Linked DNA regions of Xenopus tropicalis. The protein of the gene in region 5 interacts with the protein of the main gene of each other region in a biochemical or structural test. Links are inferred from orthologs where the notes say so. Each region holds a gene or a part of one and is shown on either strand. Other genes may lie near its edges.

Region 1 (4,206 bases), on a different chromosome or scaffold from region 5:
AAAGAATAATAATAAAATAATATGCAATGTCAGCCCTAATGCAGACTAATGATAGCACCTTAGATCCATTGCAGAGTCCTGTGCTTCTACCAGGGCAGGAAGATTTGCAAGAGACAAGGACTGTTCAGTTCCTTAAGCAATGTCTTTTAATAATTAAGACTTTTGCTTTAACTGTCAGGCTATTCTGCTTACTTACAACAGCTACATATTCCTGAAACATTAACCAGGCATAAACATTTGTTCTCATCCAGGCCAAATGCATTTGGCACATTGGCATTGTCAGAGAAAGTTGCTTTCTTATTAGTATTAAAAGGACCAGTGTTTGGGATTAAGTGTAGATGTCCTCAGTTGATTTTGAGGTTACAAGTCTCCTTTATGGTTGTGTGTCTTAGTTTTACTAACTAATTGTTATCTGTATTGTCCAACATATACTGATAAAATCATATTAAATAATAATAAAAAACATAAATGAAAGATTATTGTATAAAGAATGATCAAATATTTTTGGATGCTACACAGGGGTATCAGTGTATTATAAGCAGGACACACCTTAACTGATTGTATTATGAAGGAATCTTGCAGGAGGGGCTGCTTGTTCTCTGCTTTGTGAACTTAGAATAACTGGTGAACTATCAACATCTAAGAAACATAAGAAAAAGAATCCTGCCCCCCATATGGGCTCCCAGTCTTTGAGTTATCCAAAAACAACATTCCCTTAGGAAGGATGTTATCCTTTGTGCAAAGAAAAATACCTAACTCTAGCCCTTTATAAACAATACTAGGGTGTCCAGCAAGGAGGCAGCTATTTTCATATATAATTCTCTTGTGTTCTCAAGTGGATCCTTTTAACCCATTTACAACTGCCACACAGGGTCATTCTGTTCTGAAAAATGTTCATAAAACCTGAACATGGCCTCAAGCTGTTCATGGACACTACAAATGAAGCATGTACTCTGGCAGTATTAAAACAAAATATGATACCATGCAGCTGCTGGAAATAGCAACTCCCAACATCCTCTATTGTTTGCATGCTATTAGAGGATACTGGGAGTTATGATTCACTAGAAGGTTCAGCACTCCTGTTTTTTAATACATCACAAAACAAATCTTCAGGAGTTCTGTAACTTGAGGCATTCTTCATTTCATGGTTAGTGTTATGGACTATTTCATATAACACCAGGTACCTTCTCTTTGGACAACCTAATATACTTATGTTCAATGTTTTCCATAGCCAGATGGCTGTCATGTCACGTTTAGACTATTTCATATAAAACCAGGTACCTAACTGTGGTCAACCCAATAAACCCAATAAATCCAATAAATCGCAATGAAATAAGCAGGCTGCTTATCAATGAGCCATCAATAGAAGGTGATCTTGCCAAGCCTAATAGCATTTCTACCTCGAAACAAATGTGTTTTACTTATTGACTTAGAATTCATGATTTTCAGCAGGCTACAATTATTTTGTCATATTACCAGCAAGTTAAGATAAACACCATGCCAATGTATTATAATAATATTTAAATTGAAGCTGGTATTTTATAACACCAACATAAACTTGTCATTTCATTGGTAATAACTGGATGATTCGTTGTCAAAGGTGTAGTGGCACTTAGAGTATAATTACACATACTCTATCCATCAATTTTTATAGCTCAGTTTCTCTGTTGTCATCAAAAATTCTTGTTTCAAATGTAAAGTAGTGGACTATCAACAAAGAAGGGAATGTAAAAGGACAAAGGCCTGGACCAAACATATCAGAGCATGTATAAATTGATATACAGGTATTGGACCCCTTATCCGGAAACCCATTATCCAGAAATATCTGAATTACGGAAAGGCCATCTCCCATAGACTCCACTTTAATCAAATAATTCCCATTTTTATAAATGGTTTCCCTTTTTCTCTGTAATAATAGAACAGAACCTTGTACTAGATCCCAACTAAGATATGATGAATCCTAGTTGGAGCCAAAACAATCCTATTGGGGTTAATTACTGTTTAAATAATTTTTTCAGTAGACTTAATGTAGAAGATCTGAATTACAGACAGACCCCTTATCCAGAAAACCCCAGGTCCCAAGCATTCTGTATAACGGGTCCCCTACCTGTATATATATATAGAGAGAGAGATAGAGAGAGAGAAAGAGAGAGAGAGAAAGAGAGAGAGGGAGAGATTTTGAAAGACAGTGCACACGCCCAGGTGCTGCGGCCCAGGTGCTGCCACAAAAATAATATCAGCATGTAGAGCACTCATGTACCTAAAATTATCTGCGTTCAATTTGTGCACATAATTTAAGTCCAATGAGTGCTCTGTGTTCTACATGCTTATATATATATATATATATATGCACACATACTTTTGAGCATTTAAGATAGCCATAGAAATATATATTATCAAATGAAATTAAAAAAAAATCTACTTACTGTCCAGCTTCAGCAGCGAGTCATAGGTTTTGCACTGCATCTGCCCTGTGCTCTGCATTACACAAGACATCCAGAGTCCTTCATAGGTGATCTGTGCTGTGATAATGGCATCCCCAGCAAACGATGACATTTTCCATTGAGGGATTGCAATACATACTATAAACCCAATCCAGCCCAGACAAGCTAAGGCGAATCCTAAAAGTTGCAAGCCTGCGTTGGCCATCCTTTTGAGTGGATAAAATAAGTTACCACTTGGCCACCCTCTGAAGCAGGAGCTTGTCCGCTCTTCTGTAGTCTAAGGAGGACCTTTAAGTAAATGTAGACTGAAAATTTCTCAAGTCAGAAAAAAGTGGAGAAGGAAGAGTTCATCAGTGGTCGTCCAGGTCTATCTTCTAACTGAAAACTTCTGCTTATCTGCCTTATTTAAAGTGACTTGAGTTCTCCTCCCAGTGGCAGTCCTTAGAATTGCATTGGCTCAGCAGGATAATCATTTGCAATGAAAGACTCATCACCACCTCCCACCACATTTGTGACACCACAAATGTTTTTTTCTGCTTGCTTTGACTGCAGGGGAGTTAAAAGCAAAGCTGATTCCAGCAATGTAGTCATTGTTTTGTCCTCATCCATAATACATATTTTTTAAGCCAGGTGTTTTTCACCAAGCTATAGAACAGCCATAGAATTTGCAAGAGCTTTAAACAATGCAGTGGAAAAATAAATGAATCAGACACATTAAGAGTAATGGTTGCTGACAAACTGTCTCATTACAGACTTTGTAACTCAGTTGCGGTCAGTGTCAGAGGTTTTAGCCCTGTGTGTTTGGGCTAATAAAAGACATGTTAGGCAAAACATCATAACAAATATTTCAGGCTAAGACTTTTTTTATAAACACAAGAGAAAATTGTTAATTACAAAATACTTAACTGTTACCCAGGACTTGTATCTGGGGGCAGTGCTTGGTGGGTGCAAGGCAGCCCTGGCGCTCTTTATATCATATGTGATGACAAGCAAGTTAGGGGGTGGGTTAAGGAAAACCTACAAGCTTCCCCTAGCCCACCCCTTATAAATGCAGCACTGTATTCATTGGGAAAACATAGGTCCTTGTGTTCCATTTGGGCGATCATGACAAAGGCGGTGTGCACAATGCAAAAACATGGCTGCTTGTTCCTGCTTTTTTGCACATTGTGCCCTGATCCCCAGTTTGTAAATGTATTTGTGCAATCCAGAAAGGTACCTGCTTCCATATATGCTCCTGAAATTACTATCAGCAAGGTTGCAGCAATAGTTGCAATTTCCTTGTATTAAATGCATTAAATGCTAATGCTTTTATTAACTTCATACGCAGGTGATACATTCAAACACAAATCCAGGGAACATAATTTCCAAAAATGCCCACTAATTTGTATCTATTGGTGCATCATGAGCAAGTTGAGGTAGGTGCAAGTTAGAGGGGTAGTTCAATCAAACCACTGCCTGGTTCCTAAGGTAATTTATATTCTAGCAACCAGATAGCTGCTAAAATTCGAAACTGGAATGCTGCTAAACATAATAAACTGCGAAAACACTGCATTGTGAGTAAAAATCATGGCAACCAGGGCCAGAACCAGGGAAAGGCAGATGAGGCAGGTGCCTAAGGCCCACAGAACGGGGGGGGGGGGGGGGGGGGGGTTTAGGCATGTACCCCTCCCTTCTGTCTACCCCTAGTTCTGCCTCCTACCAGCTTATCACTATAGCTTATTGAATCACCTTCTACTCATCACCACAGGGGGATCTCAACTTG
Region 2 (3,936 bases), on a different chromosome or scaffold from region 5:
ATCAAGACAGGGCGCTATCTGCAAGGAGTTGTATGTTCTCCCTGTGTCTACAGGATCAGACTAAGCCGGTGGGACACTGAGAAAAAAACCCGGTGGGCCCCACTGACCCAGACCCCATCACCACCGGGAAGCATCATATCTCCCCTGCTGCTCTCCCTCCCCAGATTGAGCCTAGGTAAATATGAGATATATGCGCTGGGGAGGGGTGGATGGCAGTGGTCGGGTGTCAAGGGCCCCTAAGGGTGTTAGGGGGCCCCAGTGGGCCCCACACACCCCAGTTCCACCCTGTGTGCAGTGTCGGTCGAGATCCGATCCCCCCAGGGTGCTCCCATGATTCGCCATCTCCCTCCCCCGACCCGACGCAGGTAAGTTTCTTTTAGGAGAGCTCGGGGGTGGGGGTCGGAGGGTGTTGGGGGCCTCTGCGGGGGGGGGGGGGCAGTGAAGGCGGCAGGGGCCATTTGGGGGTGCAGGGTCTCCTGAGGCAGAAGTCCCGGTGGGCCCTGCACCCCCTAGTCTGACCCTGCCTGTGTGTTTTTGTGGGTATCTTTATAAATACAGGCCGGTAATTTATCAGTAGGGGCCTCAGATTGTAATCTTCACTGGGGCAGTGAGTGATGTATAATCTCTGTAAAAGCTCTGTATAAATAAATGATACTAAAGATTAGGATTTGGAGCATCCCCAATTCTTAGAACAAATATCTGAAAGCATTTTTATCACAAAGCATTTGTTGGTTTCCGCAGCCACACTCCATTATTTGTTACAGTACAAAACACAAGCTTTCAAAAGCGACGCAGGGTATGCTGGGATTTGTAGTCCAACAGACAGGTAGGACCAATAACAACGCTAAAGTATATTCTGTACATAGTGTTTTTATGCAGCGGAATGAGCAGTCTGATAGAAGAATGAAGAAGAATGGAAGTGGTTTATAAATAAATGTACTTTCACACTTCAGCCAGCGCTGAGCAGGGAGAGATTACAGGGAGGGGATGCAGAGCAAGCGGTGGTTGGAGGGCGCTATTAGCGGCGCTGCGGGTAGGGGGCGCCAGAGCGGCACATTCCTGTGCATCCCGCACTTCCCCGTTACAAGGTGCCTGCCCCTCTCACTGTTGGCTGTGCCGCTCGGTCTGCGCTTATTCTCTCATCTAACGGACTCGGAGGATGCGGTCTCCAGCCTGTGCGATCTTTCTCGGCTACTTTGCGGCGCTTTGCTGTAAGTTTCTGGGATCTTTACTGAACTCCGCTGCTTTGGGCGCTTTCTGTCGGCACTTTGTGCTCTGTGTGTGTCGGGGGGTTGTGAAATCCGGGCTGGGAGCCTTTGTCCTGCCTGCCTGCCCGCCTGCCCGCCTGCCCACAGGGACCCTCACTCCCATACTTTCTGCATCCCCCCTCATGGGCTACATGTTTCCCTGCTCTGCCTGCATGCCGGGGATTGGCTGCTGCTACTGCCAAATTCTCTATTAGGCTATTAGTGCCGGTCTGACTTAGAATATTATATACTGCTGGCTCCATGATCCGCTATTACATCATTATTGCTCTGTGTGACTTTATTTATTATATTTCTGCCCCCAGGATTCTGTATGACATCATTAGTGTTCTGTGTGACTTAATTTATTATATTTATGACTTTGGGATTCTGTATGACATCATTTCTGCTCTATGTGACTTAATGTATTATATTTCTGACTTCAGGATTCTGTATGACATCATTAGTGTTCTTTGTGACTGAATTTATTATATTTCTGACTTCAGGATTCTGTGTGACATCTTTAGTGCTCTGTGTGACTTTATTATAATTCTGCCCCCAGGATTCTGTATGACATCATTAGTGCTCTGTGTGACTTTATTTATTATATTTCTGACTTAGGGATTCTGTGTGACATCATTTCTGCTCTGTGTGACTTAATGTGTTATATTTATGACTTCAAGATTCTGTATGACATCATTAGTGTTCTGTGTGACTTAATTTATTATATTTCTGACTTCATGATTCTGTATGACATCATTAGTGTTCTGTGTGACTTAATTTATTATATTTCTGACTTCATGATTCTGTATGACATCATTAGTGTTCTGTGTGACTGAATTTATTATATTTATGACTTCAGGATTCTGTGTGACATCATTAGTGCTCTGTGTGACTTTATTGTATTTTTGACTTCAGGATTCTGTATGACATCATCAGAGCCCTGTCTAACCTAGAATATTATTTTGCCAACTTTTATAAGAAGCCTGGCACATTTTAACCATATTAAGTCCACCAGCCTACTCCCAGCATGCACAGTGGTTATTAAATATGGGCATCAACTTAAAATGGACTTGATATTCTGGTACAGACTGTTCATACTTTTTCAAGATTCCAGTATTTACTCTTAGGGTGAAGACACAGAGCTACTAGTAGCAGCTACAGAAATAGACAATGCTGACTATGTATTGATAATTGAGGCATATCTCAGTATTGTCTATGGCAGGGTATTTTCTGGCATTTAGTAGCCGTGAAATGTTGCTGCTACTAAGTAGCTCTGTGTGCCTTCACCCTTAGAGTTTAAATGAGCAGTGGCACAAAGGGTGGACTGCATTACCTGTGCAATGTAGCGGAGCATTGATAAGGGCGTAGATATGTTCTTACCTTTGGGGGAACCTTGGGTATTGTATTTGCAGCATGTGCTTCCCTGTGTGACTGGGGTATATACAGGTATCGGACCCCTTATCCGGAAACCCATTATCCAGAAAGTTCCGAATTACGTAAAGGCCATCTCCCATAGACTTCATTTTAATCAAATAATTCACATTTTCAAAAGTGATTTCCTTTAATAATTTATCTGTAATAATAAAACAGTACCTTGTACTTGATCCCAACTATATATATATATATATATATATATATATATATATATATAGATATAATTAATCCTTATTGGAGGCAAAACAATCCTATGGGGTTTATTCAATATTTAAATGATTTTTAGCAGACTTAAGCAGTGGAGATCCAAATTACGGAAAGACCCCTTATCCGGAAAACCCAGGTCCCGAGCATTATGTATAATGGGTCCCACACCTGTACTTAGTGCCAGTTTGGACTGTGACCCAAAGGGAAGTCTTTTTGGACACAAGTGGTTTATGCCAAACTGATTTACAGCAAATGGCTTTAAAGGGAGCTATCCGTTGTTATACTGCTGTTTAGGTTTATTTTATCCTAATATTTTAGGGGGGTAACAAGTGTATCTGCCATACCCAGCGGGGGCTCTCAGGCTCCAATCATTTTTCCAGGATGGTAGTTCAGCCACCTGGGGGATACAGTTCTGCAACAGCTGGGGGGCCAACAGGTTAGATATGAGTCTGGGTTACACCCTGCATGCCTCTGTATCCCTGCAAATAAACTGGATTATTTGATGGTAAAAATAAAGGAGATGGTTAGCAGATCACATGGTTTAAATGACTTTGCTGTTTCCAGCCATTAGGGAAATAGATGCACGTGTGCGACGGGGAGATTAGGGGACGCGCTGCTGCTGCTGCTGCTAAATCCACTCTCGGAAAGTTTCTTTGCTAGTGACCCGTTTCTCTCTCTCACACATCTATATTCAGGTTGCTCTGAGTGACCTATTTCTCAGTTACATATATGTACAGGTTGCTCAGCTCTCACACACGTGTGTACAGGCTGCCTGTGTCTCATTCACATGTATGGGCAGATTGCGAGTGGCCGGCGTCACATTCACATACATGTGCAGATTGTGCAAGATAGAATGTGCATCTTGCTCCATTTTTAGCATTTTTAAACTGTCTTTCCATTGCTCCTGCAATTTTTAGCAACTTTGCAATATACATCAATGAAAAATATGCAGCCTTTTTATGATTTTTAATGTAATAATATGGTTTGGAACAGTTCCCTAAGCCCCGCCCCCTGTTCCCCTGCTGATCTGGCTGACTACTTTTCAGTC
Region 3 (4,260 bases), about 56 Mb from region 5:
AAGGTCCCTATCACATTCCCATCAGCCCCTGCCCCAGTGAGCTTACAATCTAAGGTCCCTATCCAATCAGCCCCTGCCCCAGTGAGCTTACAATCTAAGGTCCCTATCCCATTCCCATCAGCCCCTGCCCCAGTGAGCTTACAATCTAAGGTCCCTATCACATTCCCATCAGCCCCTGCCCCAGTGAGCTTACAATCTAAGGTCCCTATCCAATCAGCCCCTGCCCCAGTGAGCTTACAATCTAAGGTCCCTATCCCATTCCCATCAGTCCCTGCCCCAGTGAGCTTACAATCTAAGGTCCCTATCCCATTCCCATCAGCCCCTGCCCCAGTGAGCTTACAATCTAAGGCCCCTGTCATCATGTGGGCCAATACCACCTTAGGGAGAATACCCATACTATTTTCCCCCAGACAGCGCCCATATCAGAAGCAGTGAGCCGGGCACTGCCAGGCAGCGGTACCAGTGTGCCACCCATATATAGATGCACCGTGCCCCACCCACAAGCCCAGCACCCCCCATGGGACAGCAGAGTCAGCAACACAATGACACCCCCAGGGAAACATTCAGTAGCTGCAACCTGACTCCCTGCATTACAGCCTGTTACCTGCCGCTGGCTGCACTGGATTGGATACCTGCCAAGACATGAATCACCCCGACTGGTTGGCTGGGAAACTCCGCCCCCATTTCAAAGGAGGAATCCGTTGGGGCCCGTGTGGCAGCAGGTGCAGTGTAACCGCCGAGCAGCACAGGTTCCCATTAGCCTTTAGACTGTAAGCTCTTGTGGCAAGAGAATCCCCTGCCTTTACCCCCATGTACTATATTATTGCAAGGAATGACATACATGGCATAGGGGCATCAGTGGGCACAGGGGCATCAGGGCAGCCCCATACAGCAGGGGTATAAGGCCGGGCCAGAACCAGAACATACAATAAACAACCCGGGGCCACTGCCTTAATTGACTCACAAACTTACCCCACGGGGGGCAAACAGCTTACAGCAGGACCATATAGGCCGATCTATTGCCCCCCATACCCTAATGCACCGACGCCATCATGAGATGCGCCCAGGGCGTGGCATTGGCCTCAGCCCAGCAGGGGGCGCTGGACACATTCTCAGTGAAAGTGAAAGAAAGGAATGGGACTAACCCCCCATCACACACAGTAAGGATACAGATTAACAGCCCTAGCTCCTAGAATACCAAGGGCCACCCCCAAAATCTTACTTGAATCTCTGCTATATGGGGGCAGGGGGGGGGGGGCAGAGGGAAGGTGAATGGCTACCGGGAAGGAAGGGGAAAGGTGAGTAGGGAGGACAGAAGGGGGAGGAGCCATTGGAAGGCAATAAAGGAGGGGCAGGTGAGTTTCACAGAAACCAGGTGAGGGGGTGGGATTGGGAAAGGTAAAGTGGGGAGGAGATCTGCAGTTTCCTACCCCCCCCCCCCCCATTCAGCCCGTTTCCCCCTGTAGTGCCCCCCCCATTCACTTCCCAGGAATAACCCTACAGAATGATGCTACACCTGGCCCTAACCCCCGGCCGCTATACATGCTGTACACACCCCAGCCATTCAGCCTCCTATATAAACTGGCAGAACTCCGATAACCCAGTAACCCCACTATCTGGGCCCAGTCTAATCAGCAGCAGATAAGAGATACCAGTGCAGCCTGCAGCACCAACCCCAGATAAGCCTCTGCCATAACGGGCTGCTACTGGGGCAGATACACGGCTGGGGCTACTGTTACACAGATAAACCACTGCCATAACGGCCCATAAGCGACAGAATCGCTGCTACTGGGGCAGATACACGGCTGGGGCTACTGTTACACAGATAAACCACTGCCATAACGGCCCATAAGCGACAGAATCGCTGCTACAGGGGCAGATACACGGCTGGGGCTACTGTTCCACAGATAAACCACTGCCATAACGGGCAGAATCGCTGCTACTGGGGCTACTGTTGCACAGATAAACAGCCACTGGGGCAATAAACACAGAACCATTACATCACAAAGAAAGGGGGCACTAGAGAGGGCAATAATAAACTTAGGGCACATTAACACAATAGCCCCCACCCCTCCAAGTAACTAGGGGCAACTAACACGTCATTAAGACCAGTAATGTGTAAGTAAATACCCCACCTGGGGGCAACAAAGGCTGAAAATAAAGCCCTTCACCTTACGGCGGGGCACAAGGGTCAATATGCAGTTACCCCATACAGGGAAGGGAAACTACCCCACCCCACTTGATTGCCCCCACAAGGAAGCGCCAGAGCCGAGCCCGGCGGGCGGGTGGGGCAGTTACAGAGTCCAGTCGGAACCGGTCAGACCGGTTTGGGGCAGGGGAAAACAAGTGGGGGAGGGGCAGTTCCCACACAGGATGCCCCAGGGGCACTTACCGTCCAGCTGCAGTAGGGAGTCATAGACTTTGCACTGAATCTGCCCCGTACTCTGGGTGGCGCAAGACATCCACAGCCCTTGGTAAATCGCCACCGCCGTGATGATCTGGTCCCCGGCATAGGAGGACATCTTCCACTGCGGCATAATAGTCGCTGCGATTAGTGCGATCCATCCCAGCAGCGCCAGTACGAAGCCCAGCAGCTGCAGCCCGGAGTTGGCCATCCCTGGGGGGTTGGAGTGTGGGGGTAGGTAGGAGTCCTTTGCCCCTGCACTAGGGGGGGTAAGTACAAGCTCAGGGACACACAGGGGCCCCTACTCCTCGCTGCTGCTGGGGGGGGGGGGGGGGCTCCGAACGATCGAGTAGTTTATCCCCGGCCGATAGAATCCGATCCGTCTCCTTCCTCCGCTCTCTCACCGATACCTGAGCCAGGTGCGACACCTGCGCCTTCTATATGAGCCCGGCCCCGGCCCCGCCCAGCTACCGTGACGTCACCACCTCCGGGCACCTGAGAGAGTGAAACGGTGACTCAACTGAAACCGGTGACATCAGAGGCTCTTTCTCTCTCTATGGAACAATAATACCCCCCATAGAGTTTATATCTGCCCCCATACACTGTATCTGCCCCCCATACAGTATATCTGCCCCCATACACTGTATCTGCCCCCCATACAGTATATCTGCCCCCATACACTGTATCTGCCCCCCATACAGTATATCTACCCCCATACAGTATATCTGCCCCCCATACAGTATATCTACCCCCATACAGTATATCTACCCCCATACACTGTATCTGCCCCCATACAGGGTATCTACCCCCCATACAAGGTATCTACCCCCCCATACAAGGTATCTACCCCCCATAAAGCATATCTACCCCCCCATAGAGCATATCTACCCCCCATACAGTGTATCTACCCCCCATACAGTATATCTACCCTCCATACAGTATATCTACCCCCCATACAGTGTATCTACCCCCCATACAGTATATCTACCCCCCATACAAGGTATCTACCCCCCATAAAGCATATCTACCCCCCATAGAGCATATCTACCCCCCATACAGTGTATCTACCCCCATACAGTGTATCTACCCCCCATACAAGGTATCTACCCCCCATAAAGCATATCTACCCCCCCATAGAGCATATCTACCCCCCTTACAGTCTATCTATGACCCTACCGTCTATTTACCCCCATACAGTCTGTCTACTCCCTGTGTAACTTTATAGTAATATCCCCTGATACACTGTATCTACTCCCTGTGTAACTTTATAGTAATATCCCCTGATACGCTGTATCTACTCCCTGTGTAACTTTATAGTAATATCCCCTGATACACTGTATCTACTCTGTGTAACTTTATAGTAATATCCCCTGATACACTGTATCTACTCCCTGTGTAACTTTATAGTAATATCCCCTGATACGCTGTATCTACTCCCTGTGTAACTTTATAGTAATATCCCTGATACACTGTATCTACTCCCTGTGTAACTTTATAGTAATATCCCCTGATACACTGTATCTACTCCCTGTGTAACTTTATAGTAATATCCCTTGATACGCTGTATCTACTCCCTGTGTAACTTTATAGTAATATCCCTGATACGCTGTATCTACTCCCTGTGTAACTTTATAGTAATATCCCCTGATACGCTGTATCTACTCCCTGTGTAACTTTATAGTAATATCCCCTGATACACTGTATCTACTCCCTGTGTAACTTTATAGTAATATCCCCTGATACGCTGTATCTACTCCCTGTGTAACTTTATAGTAATATCCCCTGATACGCTGTATCTACTCCCTGTGTAACTTTATAGTAATATCCCCTGATACACTGTATCTACTCCCTGTGTA
Region 4 (3,803 bases), on a different chromosome or scaffold from region 5:
TGGAGTTTGACACTGACAGCCTGCAGATAGAATTCCATCATCCATGTTATAGGTCAGAAATGATTAAGTCCCAAATAACACTTAACAGGCAATTGCTGCATGTCACATATATACACAGAACCTAAAAATCTCTCTATATATGGAACTATATATTACAAAAATCCCTCTCTTATTAACATGTAATCTGCAAATGGAAACAATATGTTAGTTACGGGCCCAACCTAGTTTTGCCCTTGCTAAACAATAATAAAGACAGGACCCTAAAGGTGGCCATACACGGGCCGACTATAGCTGCCGATATCGGTCCCTTGGACCGATTTGGCAGCTAATCGGCCCGTGTATGGGCAGGGCAGAGCGGCCTGGCCGACCGATATCTGGCCTGAAATAGGCCAGATCTCGATCGGCCAGGTTAGAAAATCCGGTCGGATCGGGGACCGCATCGGCTCGTTGATGCGGTCCCCGATCCGACTGCCCCATTGCTGCCCACATAATGCTCCCCGATATCGCCCACCCGTAGGTGGGGATATCGGGGGAAGATCCGCTCGCTTGGCCAAGCGAGCGGATCTGCTGGTCTATGGCCACCTTAAGTATAAATTACTTAAATCCCTGATAACTGTCAGTCAGGTAAAATTTCATTTCAACCACCGACCGCCCCCTGCCTTCAGCCTCAGAGCCTGTACTTGTATTGCCTTTGCATTATCAGTGCATTCTTCACAAATGTTTCTCTGAACAAATGTTTCTTCAACACACAGTAGTCCAGTGTAGTTTAGTTTAAGTATAATTTAAGTTCTTGCACTGTTCACATTGCATACATGTTCCTGGAAAGAAGATGCCGGTGTGAGCAAGGACAATTCCTTTTTATTTTACTAACCTCCTATACATAACCTGTGAGATTGTACCCACTTTGTTCACGCTTAGAGGTTTCTGTTAAGACAGTAGCATTTGCTCCCTTGTTGGCTACTAGAGGTTTCCTCTGGTACCTGCTGTAGAACTCATGACCCTCTTCTCTGGGTGGGCATGAAGCACAGAGAATGGAGCCTCCAAGTACTGAGACAATTGATGACATAATGCCCAGATAGAGAGCAGGTCCAATTTCATACCTCATTGAATCAGCAATAATAGGGTTGTAGAAGTCTCTTAGAATAGAATGCAGGTTCCAGCAAATTGGCACCAAGCATAGGACACCTCCTAGGATAAATAAAACCCCTCCAACAATGGCTATTTTAGCCTTCCCAGGGGAGTCCTGAGAGAAGATGGTGCATTTCATACCAAAGATTGAGAAGAGGCCGGCTAGTGAAGACAGTACACAAGATGTGATCATGAGAGCTTGAGCAGCTTGGGTATCAGATGGTAACCCCAGCATGGAGTTGTAAATGTCACATTGTGTGATGCCTGTGCTATAGGAAGCACACTCCATCCACAGCCCTTTGGAGAAGCCCACAGCTGTTACAATGCTGGCACCAACATATGAGCTTACCTTCCAGTTGGGCATAAGTGTGGCAACAACAGAGCCAACTAGTCCCAGGATGCCCATGAAGTAACCCATCATCTGAAGGCCTACAGACGTCATTTTGCTGTCTCTTCTTGTATAAAAGACTACTTGTTTTTGATTAAGACAGTCTCCAGAGTAGTGGTGTATCTCTGTGTTAGCAGAGTATTTCTTTTTCTGTAGCCTTTAGCTCACGGTCATTGTGTGCACACATATAGCCAGTTTAAACGGAACATCTGTTTTGGCTTTTCCACTCTCTGCACTTTCTCCTGGAGTTTTCACAGTGCCAGGAATGGCACTGCCACCTCTTCTCACACTTTCTATGTGGCAGCTGTCTACAGCCTCTGATCTTACAATCTCTGGATCGGATAATAGGCTGTGGAGTCCTCTTTATAGACCTACAATCAAATAAAAAAAGGTAAAAAACAGAGACGGAAGGGGTGAGGGTGGAGGTTGGGGGGGGTTAAATATTCACTAACAAATTGATTAGCCAAATGCTCCTTGACCGCGTTATCTCTGAAAAATAGAAATCAAACATTCCCCCATCCTCAGCCATTTGATCATTTGTCAGAGAAACCTACCTATGTTGTGTAACCTACCGCCTCTGTTTTACTATCCCCATGCAGTTTATCATTCTTTATTGCCATTATAACACCTCCACACTGTATGACAGCTTCTGACTAACTTGTCACGCTTGTGACATGTTATGTAAGTCAATACACTGTACTACGTGTCTGTTAGTGCCCCTTATGATAATGTTTGTAGCTATTTAACAACCCCACGTACCTTCTGCTTTTGTGACATCTTTATAAACCAACTGATTGCCGGTGAGTATTATCTCCCCTGATCTTGGAGATAAACAGCATCAGATTGCTTCATTGCACCATCTACTATTTTATTCCATCAATCCATATCCTGGGTGCTCTATTGCAACTTTCATTTACTTTGCACATAGAGAGCAAAGCAGTATAAGCGCTGCACGTCACCCGTATTAAAAATAATTCCCCCTGGAATTTGGACACTTTAATCTATCCCCTTCCCTCTGTATTGCTTGTGCTTGCAACAGAATGTTAAATCCACAAAGTAATTAACTGTTGCTCCAGCATATACTGTAGACATGTGAAACGAAATTAAAGAAGTTATTATAAAGTTCTAAAAGGTTGTGTTTATAGAACATTATACTTAGCAATTAAAGCTTTATGTTTGCATTTAAATCTCTGGTACTCCCACGCATGAAATAGTATTACAAGCAAAGTTACTGGGTGGGTAAGTTAAGCAAGCATTTCTATGCCACTAGAGGCCACCGCTTCATATTAAAGCAGTGGTTCCCAGTCTGGGGGGGAATGGAACCCATTGCAGGGTTTGCAATCTTGCAAACGAAGGCCAGGTAGGGATAGAAATTGGGAGAATATCTATTTCCTCTCCTAGGCATTACTGGGAGCCCATCTTGAAGGACAATAAGAATGAGATTTGGGATGAACATGTATTTGCTGTCCTAGATATTCTTGGGACTATGATTAATCAACTAATTGAGCCTCAAAGAGTGGAAAACTGAATAAGTCCAAAAAAACAATGCGTCACAGATTATTATGGAGAGAGGTCTGCAGCTGTCAGAGCCACAAGTAGAGGTTATGGGCATTCACACAAATTGCAAACGTGGTTTTACCTTTTTTCAAAGTAAGAGCAGAAGCACCCAATGTAAATTCAAATATGTATTTGCCAGCAGGGCAGCAGGGTTTCCACAAAACAGGGGCATTTTACAGGTATGGGACCTGTTATCCAGAATGCTCGGGACCTGGGGTTTTCCGGATAAGGGATCTTTCCGTAATTTGGATCTCCATAACTTGTCTGTTAAAAATCATTTAAATATTGAATAAACCCAATAGGATTGGTTTGCCCCCAATAAGGATTAATTATACCTTAGTTGGGATCAAGTACAAAGTACTGTTTTATTATTACAGAGAAAAAGGAAATCTTTTTTAAAAATTTGAATTATTTGCTTATAATAGAGTCTATGGGACATGGCCTTTCCATAATTTGGAACTTTCTGGATAAGGGGTTTCTGAATAAGGGATCCCATACCTGTACAAAATATACTGTATGCAATAAACATTCTTCTTAAAACAGAAATGACAATGCTCTTGGATGGTAAATCACCCACTATTATGGCAAATTGATGCAGGACAATTATAGAAATGTAACTCACAACTTTAGCCATTTTCATCAGCCTTCCCAGCTGTACCCCCTCACTTCCTGGTTCCTATTTTCTGCACAGAGACCTCAATCACAAATTCCTCCCCTTTTTTCACAGGTG
Region 5 (3,500 bases):
CACACAAGCATAACCAAACAGCTCTACTATCCATACAGTTAAAGTACACAAAAATACAAAAGAAACCTGTAAAACTGGTAACCACTTACCTATTCTTGTTGGGGATTATCCCTCTTTCCACCTCCTTGTGATTTCTACCAATTCTAATGGCCAACCATGACCCTAGTTTGCCATTGTAAAGAGTATCCACAACTCGAAAGACCTCTCCTTTGTTGAAACTTAGCCCGTATGGTGACTCTTTCTCATATTCAAAGTGAGTTCTTATATAAAATGAATCCCCAACATCTGACTCAACAATGCGGCGATACACTGGAAACACAAATATGGTACATTCTAAATTTCAGCATGAAGAGGTAATGCTTGCAAAATATACAATTGTTTAATTAATGATAAACACAAATATTTTCATATTCATGGCCAACTTATGGCAAGAAAACTTACCATCTTTCTTTTTCTGAGCAAGAATGGTAACCTCTTCTCCTTTGGGCAGATCAAGAAGGAACAGTACCGCTTCTTCCCTTATTATATTGGTGAAATCCACATTGTTAACCTAAAATTAAATTTAATATTTGCATTTAGTTTGGATTATTTAGAACTGAAGGTTGCACAAAAACAACCAATCCCACTTAGCACTTTTATTTACAAGGGTCATCAGAAATTATGGGATAATAAAGCAAAACATAGTTCACTTGGCTTAATTCAAGCTATAAGAACACTATACACCCTGTAGCTAATTGTCACATTAGGCATTTCTCTGGAAGTGGAAACAAAATTAATGCCAGCCAATTCTGCCCCATGCTATTAATGGCATCCATGCGTCACTGTGAACACAAGGAGGATTTCGGCCATTTATGCACAGCTGTATTTGGGCCAAAATGTGCCTGTTATTCAGTGGCAAATGGGTGCCATGTTTTTCCGTCTAGCAGAAAAAAAGCATAGTGTGAGATTTTATATCAAGGAGTATTGCAGCTCGCAAACACATGAATACAAACACATTTGTTTTTTAATAAAGCTTCCTGAGGGGAATATTACAGATTAAAAAAGTGAAATTAAGCACTTCCTTGTTCTTTGTCTATTTAACATTGAATAACTAAAATCCCTGCTAAATAATAGTAGGTGGAATGACACACTTAAAGGGATACGGTAATGTTTTTTATGGTATAATTTTTATTTCTAAATTACACTGTTTACATAGCAAATAATTCACTCTACCATTGAAAATGTTATTCTTGAACCAACTAATGTATTTTTTTAGTTGTGATATTGGTGTGTAGGCAGTGCATTGTGCCTGAGTCTGAGCTTTCAGAAAGAGCCAGTGCTACACATTAGAACTGCTTTCAGCTAACCTATTGTTTCTCCTACTCTCATGTAACTGGAGAAGTCACAAGCTGGACTTGTATTTTCTACCATGGAGCGCTATTCTGATATCTACTGGGAGCTGCTATCTTGCTAGCTTTCCATTGTTCTGCTGATCAGCTGCTGGGAGGGGGGTGATATCACTTCAACTTGCAGCTCAGCAGTAAAGTGTGACTGAAGTTTTTTAGAGCACGGTCACATGGTTGAGGCACTCTAAGAAATGAAGAATATGGCTAGCCCCATGTGAAATTTCAAAATTAAATATAAAAAAAATCAGTGTTTTTGAAAAACAGATTTCAACGCAGGATTCTGCTGGAGAAGATCTATTAACTGATGTGTTTTGGGGAAAAAAAACATGTTTTCCCATGACAGCATTCTTTGTTTAAAACAATCATTTATACTAATCTATTTCAAAGTTTATGACAACATGAAAATGTAAATGTAGTAGTTGGGATTTTCATGTTCCATTGAGGGTAAGTTAACCTTGTGAGTGTAAACTTCAGGAAATAGTGTGATATCCATAAGCAACATTTCTACTTTTTCCACCTGTATTTCTATTATGTACTTTTATTAATGCTCATAGCATAACAGTAGAGCTGAAAAAATCTTGCATTATAAAATTTTACTGCTACTTACTCTGAGTATCTGGTCCCCTTCCTCCAAACCTTCTTTTGCGGCAGGACTGTCGTCTAATACACCAGCAACAAAAATTCCCACATCATTACCACCAGCCAAACGAAGGCCTACACTGTCTCCTTTCCTGAACTTCACCAGTTTCATGCTTGGCCTCCAAAAAACAGAAGTAAATTTAGCATGGAACAAATAAATCTAAGCAAAGTTTATAATATCTGAACTATCTGTATAATTTTTAGAAAAGACGTACTAAAAAAATTCATACATGCTACAGCATATATTCAATACACACTGTGTAAATAACACTAAACAATAATTAAACAATCTATAAAACAAATTTATTTTCTCTCAAATGTCCCTGTGGATTATAGAATTCTTCTTTGAAAAAAATTTTTTTTAAGGTTTACATTTGGGGTAGCACTACAGTTCATTTAACTTGGAAGGGCACCTCTTGGCCCTCTTACTGTTGATAAATTAGTGCTGATTGAAATGCAAGGGAGTATGTTGAGTATTTCGATGAAAGAGGCCACTAGCTTATACAGTGGCAATTCTCCTTGGTCAGTCAGGGTGAGGACACACAGAGCTACTTAGTAGCATCTTCTTGCTAAGGTTACTTAACACCAGAAAATGCTCTGCCAAAGACAATACTGAGAATTGCCTCTCCTATTGTTATAAATAAACAATCAGCATTGTCTATTTTAGTAGCCATGACAAGCAGTTGCTACTAGTAGCTCTGTGTGTCTTCACCCTAAAGAAAGAAGGTGGCTACAAAGCACCTATTCTTAGAAGAAAGGAAGGATTCCTTAAAACAGTTTTAATAACAATTTTAAGCATTTTTAAATGTTGTTAACAGAAAGTGTGCATTACCGAAGCATGCCATCTTCATGTGTAGAATTAGGGAAAGGTCCATCAGATGGGCTGACTGGCAAATCCACATCTGGTTGTCCTGGCTGGGCATATACAGGTTTTGGCTCTGTTAAAGAAATTAAAATATAAAAAAAAATAGGCTTGCATTGCAAACATTTTATAATAATTAACCCCCCAATCCCACCATTATGGAACTCACCAGATCCTCCAAAGGGACCACTAGCAGGACCCAGACCTATTATGTGTGGAGGCATCTAAGAGCTTCTCTAAAACAAATCAGCACATTGGATAAAAACTCCTTTATACCACACACCAAAGCCTATTTGCCTGATTCAAGCTCACTACTTCACACATGGTGTACTAAGTTGGCAGAGTGGCTCTGACTTAGTACTGTATTCATTTTACAGATTATTCAGGGCTTTAGTGTATTATATGGATATACAGTCGTAGGATAGCTCTATTATCCAGAAAGCTTGGAATGACGTTTCCCGTTTATTTTTACATTTATTTTATTTTTTAACAGTTTCCTGTAGTTATAAAACAGTGCCTTCTACTTGAAGGTAGCTAACTGCATAAATCCATACGGATAGCAAAACAATCCTTTTCAATGCTTTTTTTAAAAATGTAAATGTTTTTTAGTAGAT

The links. The genes of interacting proteins can lie anywhere in the genome.
Region 1: the proteins of tjp1 (region 5) and cldn1 form a complex in vitro, tested with the Homo sapiens proteins (2 studies listed by BioGRID and IntAct, with this or other methods). The link is inferred for Xenopus tropicalis from reciprocal best matches to the Homo sapiens genes TJP1 and CLDN1.
Region 2: the proteins of tjp1 (region 5) and jam2 form a complex in vitro, tested with the Homo sapiens proteins (2 studies listed by BioGRID and IntAct, with this or other methods). The link is inferred for Xenopus tropicalis from reciprocal best matches to the Homo sapiens genes TJP1 and JAM2.
Region 3: the proteins of tjp1 (region 5) and cldn7 form a complex in vitro, tested with the Homo sapiens proteins (2 studies listed by BioGRID and IntAct, with this or other methods). The link is inferred for Xenopus tropicalis from reciprocal best matches to the Homo sapiens genes TJP1 and CLDN7.
Region 4: the proteins of tjp1 (region 5) and cldn2 form a complex in vitro, tested with the Homo sapiens proteins (2 studies listed by BioGRID and IntAct, with this or other methods). The link is inferred for Xenopus tropicalis from reciprocal best matches to the Homo sapiens genes TJP1 and CLDN2.

Annotation. Positions count from the first base shown.
Region 1 is NC_030681.2:104,248,575-104,252,780, forward strand, and holds the start of cldn1 (claudin-1), read right to left. Parts: upstream 2,801-4,206; 5' UTR 2,650-2,800; coding exon 2,427-2,649; intron 1-2,426.
Region 2 is NC_030678.2:18,672,716-18,676,651, reverse strand, and holds the start of jam2 (junctional adhesion molecule B), read left to right. Parts: upstream 1-1,136; 5' UTR 1,137-1,159; coding exon 1,160-1,211; intron 1,212-3,936. UniProt on the Homo sapiens protein: Junctional adhesion protein that mediates heterotypic cell-cell interactions with its cognate receptor JAM3 to regulate different cellular processes. Plays a role in homing and mobilization of hematopoietic stem and progenitor cells within the bone marrow.
Region 3 is NC_030679.2:153,399,185-153,403,444, forward strand, and holds the start of cldn7 (claudin 7 precursor), read right to left. Parts: upstream 2,801-4,260; 5' UTR 2,616-2,800; coding exon 2,393-2,615; intron 1-2,392. UniProt on the Homo sapiens protein: Plays a major role in tight junction-specific obliteration of the intercellular space.
Region 4 is NC_030684.2:37,315,428-37,319,230, reverse strand, and holds cldn2 (claudin-2), read right to left. Parts: upstream 2,367-3,803; 5' UTR 2,276-2,366; intron 1,888-2,275; 5' UTR 1,571-1,887; coding exon 875-1,570; 3' UTR 501-874; downstream 1-500. UniProt on the Homo sapiens protein: Forms paracellular channels: polymerizes in tight junction strands with cation- and water-selective channels through the strands, conveying epithelial permeability in a process known as paracellular tight junction permeability.
Region 5 is NC_030679.2:97,716,247-97,719,746, forward strand, and holds part of tjp1 (tight junction protein ZO-1), read right to left. Parts: intron 2,963-3,500; coding exon 2,857-2,962; intron 2,144-2,856; coding exon 1,993-2,143; intron 551-1,992; coding exon 442-550; intron 310-441; coding exon 90-309; intron 1-89. UniProt on the Homo sapiens protein: TJP1, TJP2, and TJP3 are closely related scaffolding proteins that link tight junction (TJ) transmembrane proteins such as claudins, junctional adhesion molecules, and occludin to the actin cytoskeleton.